Linked DNA regions of Schizosaccharomyces pombe. Changing the gene in region 2 together with the main gene of any one other region gives a genetic interaction. Each region holds a gene or a part of one and is shown on either strand. Other genes may lie near its edges.

Region 1 (3,600 bases), 2.2 Mb from region 2:
GTATGGCTATAGATGGTGAATGACCAGAGGGTAAAGAGGGTGGTAAGCTAGTAGAATGAAATGCCTGAGAACGAGTGTATGGAAGAACCCTCTCTCTTGAGGCAGGAGTTGCTCTTTGAGGAAGACCTAATCTTCGAGTTCCGGATGAATTAGAAGAATTAGAAGAAGTTTCTTCCTTTTGAGACTTACTGAACGAGCGCAAATTTGACAAAGGACGTATTGGTGCACGCTTAGGACCACTAAAATTAAAAGAAGCAGCTTGACGATTAGGGTTCGCCAAATGTAATTGTTTTAACACAGAAGGTTCAAGAGTGTTAGTCAACTCTTCTTGAACGGAAGGAAAATATTCAGAAAGCTTCCAAAACGATTTTCGATAAACTTCCCGTACTTGAGAATTGGAGTCAGCAAGTCCGCGACAAATCAGTTTTTCAAAAGCTTTCAAATTAGTTTGCAAAGATGCAAGGTTCTTTAACTCGGGAGATAAGGATATCAACATAAAAATCCAATTACTTGAGAAAACGCGAAGTTGAGCATTTGTATCATGAGCTGCTAAAGAGATAAAGGATAAATTTCGCGACAAGACTCCACAATTTACAAGAATGGCAGCAAATGTTACATTAGCGGCTTGAGATGCAAGTTTTTTCGTAACTGAGCAAACTTTTAATAGGTTTGGTAGAATAAGTTCTAAAAAGGGATCAATGTTGCTTTTTAATATGATGGCCATCTCTTTTATCAGTTGTATGGCAGAAGAACTTAGAGTTGTACGCAATGACAACAAAGCCAACAAAATTCCAGGCAAAAGAGTTTTAAGAACTGAAAGTAGTTCTGGAAGATAATCAATACATGCATTTCCCCTTAGATATTGACGAAGTCGCAAAACTGAATCCTGCCTGACCGACCAATTTTGTTCAGTCTCACGACCTTCAAAGGCAGGAAGCATAGAAGCACTATCTTGTTCAAGTTGTTTGGAAAAATTTGCCAACAATGGCTTTACATTCTCCAACTCTACTCCAGGGTAAAGAGTAGCTACGGCTGTCATGAAGGGTGCGGGCTGAAACGAAGATGCTGAATTTTGAACTATTATTACTTCGGAGGAAGACGATATGAGAGACAGCTCTTCCACTAAGCTTTGTAAGATCTCCCTTCGAAGACCCGAGGTAGTTTCAACATCGGTTATAAATTGCATTTTAGCTGAAGTAGATAGATTTTTGTAAATCAGTAACAAAACTTCTTTCGCCTCCTCTCGTACAGAAGGGTTGGCATTTTCTAGGTTTATATAAAGAGCGGGACGCAAAGATTTTACGTCAAAACTGAGATGAGCATTATGTGCAAGGACGAACCATTTGAAACACTGAATTCTGGTTTCGGCACTTTTACTTGTTGTTGAAAGATGTATAAGACTCTTCTCAATTTCAGATGGGTTAAAGTGCCATAAGTCAATTAAGATATTAAGAACACGCTTTTGTAAATCGCGAGAGGCTATGTGATCGATGACAAGATTTTTTAGCATAGGTACGCGAAACTTTAACCATGTAGGATATTGGGCACGTAAACGGCGTAAAAAAGTTTCAAAGCATGCAACAGAAGATCTAAGGAGTAAAGGGTTGACGGTAGTTAAAGCAAGTCTGAAGCATTCCACGAACAAACCGAGATCTGCATTCTACGGCAAAAAAGCATTAGTAAATGATATGAAATTTTCGAAAACTAAAGAATAAACTTCCTTGAAATAAAAAACTTACGGGAATGTTGTTTTTATTAAAGAAAGAGCGAAGGGTATCTAGACATCTCGTCTTTTCATCGGTGGATGCTAATTTGTCAGTATATAGATGAAAGCTTTAGAATTTCATACCATTACTTTTAAGGAACTTTAAAAAATCTTGCGCATCCTTATCCGCCATCAATTACAAATATATTGATGAAACGAGCGAAACAAGAGAAACGTGAAGCGTTGTTTGCGAAGAGAATATTAAAAACTCGCTAGTAAGGAGTTTAAAAAAGAGGGCTATATCTATTACTAAGTAATTGTGTATTTCAAGTCTGGGCATGTGATGCAGTGGTAGCATGCTCGCTTTGCATGCGAGTCGTCCTGGGTTCAATCCCCAGCGTGTCCAAATTTTTTTGTGTTGTAAACACAAGTTTGAAATGATAATAGAAAGAATGATGTTGCCGGAAAAATCTATAGTGCAAGATTAAAAACGCTAAAATTAGTTGGACCAGCAAATCAATGTGCTTGTTATATAGATGAAGTATATAAAGGTGTAAAACTGTTTACTGTACGGGTTGGGTTTGGAAGTAGTAGAGAATGAAGAGTGAGATTTGAAATATGGGATTGATAAAAAAGGCGAAACGTTGAAGGAGAAATTTAAAAGCTGTAAATCTTTACTTTACTACGAAAGTTTAAGCTGTGCGGAAAAATGAATTGATTGAAGATATATTTAATGCTGGGATGGGCGGTAAACAACACTATGGTCCTCTGGCAGTTTGAAAATAAACAATGCAAGGCAATACAGATCCCAAAGTGCACTTCTCTCGTTAAATAAAATAGCAATGGCTAAACCAAATTTACAAAAAGTAAAAATACAAGGAGCAATAACAGAATCGTATACTGGAATGAAAAGGGCAGTTTGAGGCCCCCACATAGTACTTTGGAGGTATTAAAAAAGGAGATTTGTTAGTATATGGAGAGTGGCGCCCACATAGGTCTTTTGGGGACAAGTTGGAGAGATGCAAGTTGGAAGATATGTGAATGAGGAAAGAGGAAATTGGTGGGAATCAACGTGCAAAGCTGAAAGTTAATCGAACAAGAATTTTTGAATTACTAATAATTGTGAAAAAGGAAGAAGGATTTATGGTGTTGTAATAAAGATTTATGATAATGAAATTGTGTTTCTACTCTTAGTATTCATTATTTTAAATTTAGTTTATATGGTTATTCATTTTCAAATTATGGGTATCAATTTTATTTTTATTTTTTTTCATTTTTATTTGATTTTTTTTCATTTATTTACCACTCTATATCGCTCAAAATTGAATATCTGCCAAGTTTTGGACCTATGCGGCATTCTTTCTACGAACCATTCAATTCTTCATACCTAACCCACTATTCATTTCTAACCCATTCTGTCTAAATAAACACAATGATAAAGATTAAACTCTTTCTAATCAAATTGTTGCAAATTCATTCTCAAATCGCTAAACACCAAACATATAAGGGAATAGCGTTCTTTCCACAACCCCCTAACCAAGTTTAACGAAAATCATTAAACACCATCCACTTTGCTATCTTTTGGCGATCCCTCACAAATACACACACTATCTTCTTAGCTGACGATCCTCATGCCGATCCTTGTGTGCGCTACTACTGGTCAAAACGCAACAACCATATCGTAAAAATTGTACATCATTAGTTATTAGTAATTGTTTTGGAATACGAATAATTAATTCTCCAACTCTATTCTTAAAACAACGAATTACACTGTACCGCCTTACATCGAAATTCAGAGGGTAGAACAGGGCAAAGCAAAGCAAGGCAGAGTAAAGCACAGTAGAGAGACAAAGGAGAAAGAGGAAAAATAGCATGAGGAAACACTTTCGCCCGAC
Region 2 (3,834 bases):
CAATATCCACATAAAAAGGAACAATATTTTTTATTTTTTCAATAGTAGTATTTTGAGCAGCTAAGAATTCATTGAGAAGCGTATCCCAAACGTTATGAGAAAGTTTTTGGAAAGCGACCTCAACAGCTTCCGAAACTTCAAACTCGAACCCAGTAAACAACTCTTCCAACTTCTCTTTCAACTTTTCCTTACAAAGCGTTTCGGAATTTTGGGTTAACTCTTCCGATAATTTTAGAATAAATGGATCAACATCCCAGTGAACATGTGGTAAAGACAAAGATTCACCTTCCTCACGCATTTTGTTGACAAGTTCGTTAATTTTAATAGAAGATGATTCTTTAAAAGGCGTATCAGAGGGAAATTCATTTGAGGCGTCAAAAAATGATTTAATAAGCTCCTTGTGTAGAGCGTTCAACTGGGCTTGGAAAAATACATAAAGATGAGAATCTACCGAAGCAATAAGCTCCTGCTTTTTCTTTTGATAGATATGCACGTTGTATCTACTAGCCTGTCGATCATAAGCTTCGATAACAGTTTCAAACATGTTTAAGAGCTTGGTAGGAAGGTCCTTGCATAAATTACCGGGTAAAAACTCTTTTTGTAAAATAGTACAAGCAGTAGAAAAAGGTTCCATTACTTCAGTAATAATCTCATCGCAACGATATTGAGCAAGCAATTGCTGTTGTGTAGGTAAATCAAGGTCCTTGTTGTTTTCAATGGTGTCCCATATCTCACGAGTATAAAGAGAAAAACCATCAGCGGGGATTTTTTTATGATAACTCACATTAAATATGTAATCAGAATTATTGTTATCCACAAATCTTTCACGCAAACTATCAACAGCTTCACTGAAAGCATCAGAACATAAAATCTTATGTGGTAAACCAGTGAAGCCAACATCAAAAAAGTCATTAATTACGGAATTTTCGAATCCTTCTGGTTTCGAAAGGGATGCCCAAATGTTATTCAAATCGGTCATAATAGTATCTGCTAAATTTTCCATTGAAGTATTTCCCAAAAAATCCCGAATAACAAATTGAAGCAAGCACCTTTCTTTTTTGTTATGAAAAAGTTGTAAATTGACTTCTAGTACTGTTTTAAGTAATGCCATGTTTGAGCCTTGGTATAGACCAACCTGATTTTCCCACATATTAACGATAATTACTTCACTAGTTGAAATGGAAAATAAAGCTGATTTTCTTTCAAAATCCTAGGTTGGTTAGTAATGACTCCAAAAGAAAATATTGATCAATTATGAGTAAAGGAAATACTAATGTGTAACTAATAGTAACAAATTAGTTCGCATTAAAATCTTACCTGATCTTCACCGCGCTCTCTACCATCGGTGCCTTCTACATCCATTACAAGAATAGGCGAATTGTTTGCCTTCGACAACCAAATACCTAACAAAAATTAGCAGCAAGCTCAGATGTTTTAATTAAAAAGAAATAATAGATTTACCTTTAGTAGTTTGTTGCCTTTTGGAAGCATCCATTACTGAAAATGAAGTCCCAAATAAATTATTTAGCAATGTACCTAATCATAGAGTTAATCAAATTTGCTCAGTGAAAGCTTTAAGTATCCAATTTAAAAGGATGTTATAACATTGGTTGGATATAGAACTCTCAAGTTGATTTTAATCTACTTACTCTTGCCAGTAGATTGGGAACCCAAAACGGCAACAACATGATAGTTGAAACCAGCATCTAACAGTCCTACGCTTTGCATAAACTTTGGTAATTCATTGTTGAATTGTTTATGTTCATCCACAATTTGTGTGGAAACCCTATTGGAAGCAGTACTCATGTTTTGGTGTAAGCGGAAGACAAGTTAACAAACATATAAGGTAGTGTGATGTCGAGGATGTAATATATCCTGACAACATTTTCAGTATTCATTAACAAATATATAACTATTTAAGTTAAATTATTGTAAAAAGACAGGTTTTGCATAATTTTGTTTATATAAATATCATGAAACAGATGATACTTTTCCTATAGTAAACTAGCAATGGCATAACAACACTCGTTAGCTCTTCCTTTCTAATGTTTACTAAGTTACTCTGCGAATGTTCAGATGTTTGTCTGTTAGCTCCATATATTTTCTTGTTAAAATTATGATTTTTAAAGAAAGAAAATACCAAGGATTTAGTTGAAGAAAGGAATGTATTTTAAAGAGTCATTCGGCCATTGTTTTGAATCTTTTCACAATGGTCTTCAAAGACTTATCGCATTTACAGACAGGAAATTTGTGCTTTTCTAAAAAGGAAACAGATTTGTATGTTTACAGAGAACAGTACTTAATAATAGGTATTAGATGCAAAATCAAGAGTGTAGCTTAAACGTTTCTCAAAAGCGCTTCGTAGTATTCGACGATATCGGTTTCATTCAATTTGTGAAGTGTTTTTGACGTTGCCGAATATGCTAAAAAAGTACAAACATACTATAATATAGCCCTTCGCAAGGTTGGAAATTATTTAATTTAATAAAATTTCTAGCATAGCTTTAGGAATCGAATTCTTTGTACTAATGTCTCACTATCCTATGCAACCTTCTTTCATTGACACGATGCGCAATTCAACCCATCGTTATGAGTACTTTATATAGGTGCGTAAAATAGTTAAAATCCTTTCTCATGGATTTTCTTCCTTAGTTTAGCTAAGAACAAAGGAGAATGGCTTGGGGAAAACGCGTTGTCTCCGCCACGCGTAAATATTATATATAAATGTTTGATGCTACATCGCGCTTTTACTATTTTCCTCACACATCGCAATTGTAGCAAATGGCTAAGGCGAAAGAAGTAAAAGCGAAACCTATTAAAGGAGAGGAAGGTATAATATTGACAAAAGGCATTGGTATTCAGCTAATCAATCGCAGCTGAAAAACTTGTTTACGAGTATTTACGAAAAACGAATCGTCCCTATTCTGCAAGTAAGAACATACATTAAAAAAATCGAAGCTGACAATTTTGTTAAAAGCTGACGTTAGTGCTAATTTGAAAAATGTTGTCAGTAAACAGGTCGCGCAGAAAGCATTGGAGCAGCTACGCGACACTGGACTAATCCATGGGAAACTATATGGTACTGAAAAATTAGTTAAACAGATTACTAACGATTACTGAGGAAAACAAAGTGTGTTCGTTTGTCTTCAAGATGACTTGGCAGCTGCTACTCCTGAAGAATTGGCTGAAATGGAGAAGCAAATTCAAGAACTAAAAGATGAGGTTTCAGTTGTTAAAACTCTATACAAAGAGAAATGCATTGGTCAGTAAATAAATGCTATTCTTTAAAATGTAGAATGATACTTCACATAATATGCATGATTTAAAACAGATCAAAGTTTTATTGATGGTATCGTTCATTTGTTTTGAGCGTACACAGCACTTGTTTTATGCTAACTCTAAAAGAATTACAAGCTTTAAATAACTCACTCAGTCCAGCCGAAATTCGTGAAAAAATTCAGAGCATTGATAAAGAAATTGAAGAAACCAGCTCAAAACTCGAATCTCTTCGAAATGGTACCGTTAAACAAATTTCCAAGGAAGCAATGCAAAAGACTGATAAAAACTACGATTTTGCAAAAAAAGGATTCTCAAACAGAAAGAAAATGTTTTATGATTTATGGCATTTAATTACTGATTCCTTGGAAAACCCTAAGCAGTTATGGGAAAAACTGGGATTTGAAACGGAGGGACCAATTGACTTAAACTAAAAACTTAACTTTAAATTTAGCTGATCCCTTTTTAACATTTTAATCATTAAATTTATATAGCTCAAAGAAAAGTCATTATCCATAGTTAAATATAAATACCTTAGCAGACAACTGCTCTAATATG
Region 3 (3,834 bases), on a different chromosome or scaffold from region 2:
TAAGAATCGCCGACATGAATACGGAACATCTTTGATGCTTGTTGGTGATGTACAAAACAAAGTCGCCATCCTCATCGACGATCTTATTGATACCGCTTACACACTAGTTCGAGCAGCAGAGTTTGTCAAAGAACATGGAGCTAGCAAAATCTATGCTCTCGTCACTCACTGTGTTTTATCAGGAGATGCTATTGAGCGTGTAAAACTTTCTTGCATTGACAAGCTTATTGTTACAAACACCGCTCCTCAAACTATTACACCAAGTGGATGTTTTGACATAATCGATGTCGCTCCTACCTTTGCGGAGGCAATTCGTCGCATACACAATGGTGAGAGTATTTCAATACTGTATGACCACAATCAAGTTTGGGTTTAACTGTACGTTGTTCATATTATTTAATTTGTTTTGATCTAGTTGGCTTAAGACTATCCGATTTTTTTTGATACTATCAATTGTCCTTTTTCTTTACTTTAACTTTAGACAGTTACATTGGAAATAATTATTATTTACTTTGAGTTGACAAAATGATTATCAAGCTAATTTCCTAAAACTAATTTCAACTTAGCTAATCTCTAGTGTAAAACTGCTAAATATAAGGTTCTTCACGACCATTATATATGTACAAGCTATGTAGAAACTATATAGGCAGTCTAATTGCACGATTTCGTCATGTTTCATACAAAAAGCCTAAAATTGTCTGGGTAATGAAGCTTGTAGGTATTTCTATACATTTTAACAGTATGTACGCATACTGGTTAGACGGAAAAAAGATGAACAATAGAAATGGTGATAAATGGAGGAGCGAATCAACAAAACATAACTATATTCAATAATTTTTCAAACGTGGTCGGGAAAGGACGAATGGAAAAAACAAAAGAATGTCAGTATAAAAGAACATGGTTATCACATGATTAAATATAGTAAACAGGCAGAAACGACAGGAATTACAAGGTTATCGTCAAGACCCCACACATCCATAGCTTCTGCAAAGGCACCAATAAATCCATTTATCAAGCAAAGCCAAGGGAAAGGAATTCTGCTTTGAGCGGCCAAGCTGTCAGGACCGGTACGAAACAAGCCCCAGTACACATAGCAACAAAAAACACCACAAACGAATGCGCCCAAACTTCCAGCCAAACTCTTATTTTTGGCAATTTTCGGGGTATACTTGCCCCATTTTCGACCAACGGTTGAGGCAGTAGTGTCACACCATGACAGTAAAAGGACACTCATTACTGCTATCTCCTGAACTTAGTTAGTAACTATGGCATAATATATAAGTAAAAGAAGAAGGAAGGTGAAGTTAGGAAAAGATCAAGCAAGGCAAAGTAGATTTGAGTAATCATGATCAAAAATACTAACTTAAACTCTATGCAACAACAATATGCTTGGTCTGACAAATACTTAGAATAGAAAATCATTCTCCGTGAAAAAATGGGTTCTATAGAGTAGTATGTCCAGTAAAAAACAAAACCCTTCGGATCGCCTGGAACAAGGAAAACCATATCTTCCTTTTTCTTAAAGAATAATAACAGTAATGATAGACATTACAATGACTTTTACTTACCTCTGGAAAAACTTTTAAAACAATCCATACCCCGATCATATAAAAAATAACACCATTCCATGCATTTTTTTCGGACTCTCGCATCAAAGGACCAATAACGCGATTGTAAAGGCGGCTGAAAGCTGGCCAGTTAAAACGAATTACATCTCCAGTAAATGCAGGTATGAATCCAATTTCTATAACCGGTATGATTTGAGCAGCGTGGTATCCACATCCCTGAAGTAATAGAGCAAAAAATCCTAGACCCGGTTAATCCAAGTCATAAAAACAACTTACCAATAGAAGTATGGAGTGCTTTACGGGGAATTTCATGCTTTTTGGACCATTGCGACCACGTCAATTTAGTCGACATTGGATGAGTATTCGCTCAGTAGTGTTTTCCAATCTAAAGGTATTTCTAATGGGTAAAAAAAAAATAGCGATACCGGCCGTGATGCAAGGAATCGGTATATGCGAGGCAAGGAATGTTCTCGCATATAGCTCACTATTTTTTTATCGTTGCACTATTCCTCCTTATTCCGTAAACATTATGAGCTAAAGTCAAAATTAATAGAATGAATGACTTCCTGAGAGTCCCAAAAGAAACCGATTTATTTCCTTCATCAGTTGGAAAAAATTTATTTATTTATCACTGCCAATATAAGAGCTCGACTTCCTAGATGAATAGCATAGCTTTGAAAGTGATTCGCAGGATGACTCAGTATCAAAACGAATGGGTTATACACTATATGGCTTTAGATGTAAATATTCTTTAGATGATATATTAAGAGAATTAATAACTGCATCGACATACAGCCAATGCAGAATCATTTATAAGTCACTGAACCTTCAGAATAGCGCAACGTGGATTTCGCTACTTTACGAAACTTTAGATGCTATTGTGAGCTCTTACGTTTCGCTTTTTGTTGTCAAATATGGGAGAATTAATTGAAAATATAAAGACAATTCTCAAGTACGCGAAAGTTTCTATTAAAAAGTAAAATGATAACTTGAATATGTATGCTAATAAAATTCCTAAAAGAAACTGAAACCATTTTAGAGCTTATATCATTGCCAAGCAATTTTGAAAATTAAATGCGAAAACCATTATTCTTTAGTTGATGAACTAGAAGTAATAATTTTTATTTAATAATAATAAGTCTGCTCAAAATCAGGTTTATTTTCAGTTATTGGTTAATTGTTCAAATTGAAGTTTTATTAAAAAAAAAAAAAAAAAAAAAAAAAAAAACTATTATAATTTATGTTAAGACTACGTAAGTTCCTTAGGGTACGCGATTTGGTCTAGCAATTTAAATAAATAATAATAATATCAATATAAAAAAACTAGAAGACTTAAAAGCTTTTATGTTCACACGTGCATCGAAAATTGATTAAGGAATTCAACACATTAAATATATAATATAATAATAACAAGGTCTATGATTTAAAAAAAAAGAAAAAGTAATAAGTTCCATTAATTTAGATATCATTAAACAAGTATGTTGTTTGAGCATATGCAGTCAGTCCTACCTTTCTTTAATTCCCTGATTTCAATAAATTACTGAGATGCAATTTGTCCTCCATATTGTCAATATTATATTAAAGAGGTATACCAAAAATCAATTTCTCACTATGAGCTCCAAGCTGACAGTGTATCAAGCGACTACATCCATGGCGGATTCTCCTAGGGATCCGTTCCAATCGCGTTCACAGTTGCCTAGATTTCTAGCAACAAGCGTTAAGAAACCAAATTTGAAGAAGCCTTCTGTTAATTCTGCTAATGGTATGTGAAACTTATATTTGACGTTTGTTTATGGATCTGACACCCTGTAGAAACAAAAAATCCCAAACTAGCTTCTTTAGAATTTCAACTAGAAAACCTAAAAAATGATTTAAAGCGGAAGGAACTGGAATTTGAGCGTGAACAAATTGAGTTGCAAAGAAAACTTGCAGAAGAACATGAACAGAAGAATTCGTTACAGCTGCGTCTAACTCTAGTTGAAAAGCAACTGGAGGAGCAGTCTACTTCTTATCAAAAAGAAATAGAAGAAGTAAGAAATGAAAAGGAAGCCACTCAGGTGAAGATCCATGAACTACTTGATGCAAAATGGAAAGAGATTGCAGAGTTGAAAACCCAGATAGAAAAGAATGATCAAGCTTTAAGTGAAAAGAATCATGAAGTAATGGTCTCAAATCAAGCTTTGCAAATGAAGGATACCAATCTTACAAACCTTGAAAAACTCTTTGCGGATTCCCGCGAACAGCTTGAAACGAAGTGTAAGGAACT

What was found.
Region 1: mutations in sey1 (region 2) and peg1 together harm fitness more than expected from each alone (negative genetic interaction), as found in Schizosaccharomyces pombe (one large-scale study listed by BioGRID).
Region 3: mutations in sey1 (region 2) and ptp4 together harm fitness more than expected from each alone (negative genetic interaction), as found in Schizosaccharomyces pombe (one large-scale study listed by BioGRID).

Annotation. Positions count from the first base shown.
Region 1 is NC_003424.3:3,155,391-3,158,990, forward strand, and holds the start of peg1 (CLASP family microtubule-associated protein), read right to left. Parts: upstream 1,943-3,600; 5' UTR 1,899-1,942; coding exon 1,850-1,898; intron 1,808-1,849; coding exon 1,740-1,807; intron 1,661-1,739; coding exon 1-1,660. UniProt on the Schizosaccharomyces pombe protein: Microtubule binding protein that regulates the stability of dynamic microtubules. Required for mitotic spindle formation.
Region 2 is NC_003424.3:974,928-978,761, forward strand, and holds the start of sey1 (GTP-binding protein Sey1), read right to left. Parts: upstream 1,812-3,834; 5' UTR 1,807-1,811; coding exon 1,650-1,806; exon of another isoform or gene 1,608-1,649; intron 1,537-1,607; coding exon 1,462-1,536; intron 1,404-1,461; coding exon 1,318-1,403; intron 1,211-1,317; coding exon 1-1,210. Other genes in the region: meu13 (homologous-pairing protein 2), read left to right, coding at 2,782-2,830, 2,877-2,930, 2,978-3,079, 3,122-3,262, 3,406-3,710.
Region 3 is NC_003423.3:1,276,444-1,280,277, reverse strand, and holds ptp4 (phosphatidate cytidylyltransferase Ptp4), read right to left. Parts: upstream 1,934-3,834; 5' UTR 1,921-1,933; coding exon 1,845-1,920; intron 1,808-1,844; coding exon 1,569-1,807; intron 1,247-1,568; coding exon 905-1,246; 3' UTR 479-904; downstream 1-478. Other genes in the region: ribose-phosphate pyrophosphokinase Prs5, read left to right, coding at 1-376; mitotic spindle checkpoint protein Mad1, read left to right, coding at 3,219-3,330, 3,381-3,834. UniProt on the Schizosaccharomyces pombe protein: CTP-dependent diacylglycerol kinase that catalyzes the phosphorylation of diacylglycerol (DAG) to phosphatidate (PA). Controls phosphatidate levels at the nuclear envelope. Counteracts the activity of PA phosphatase ned1.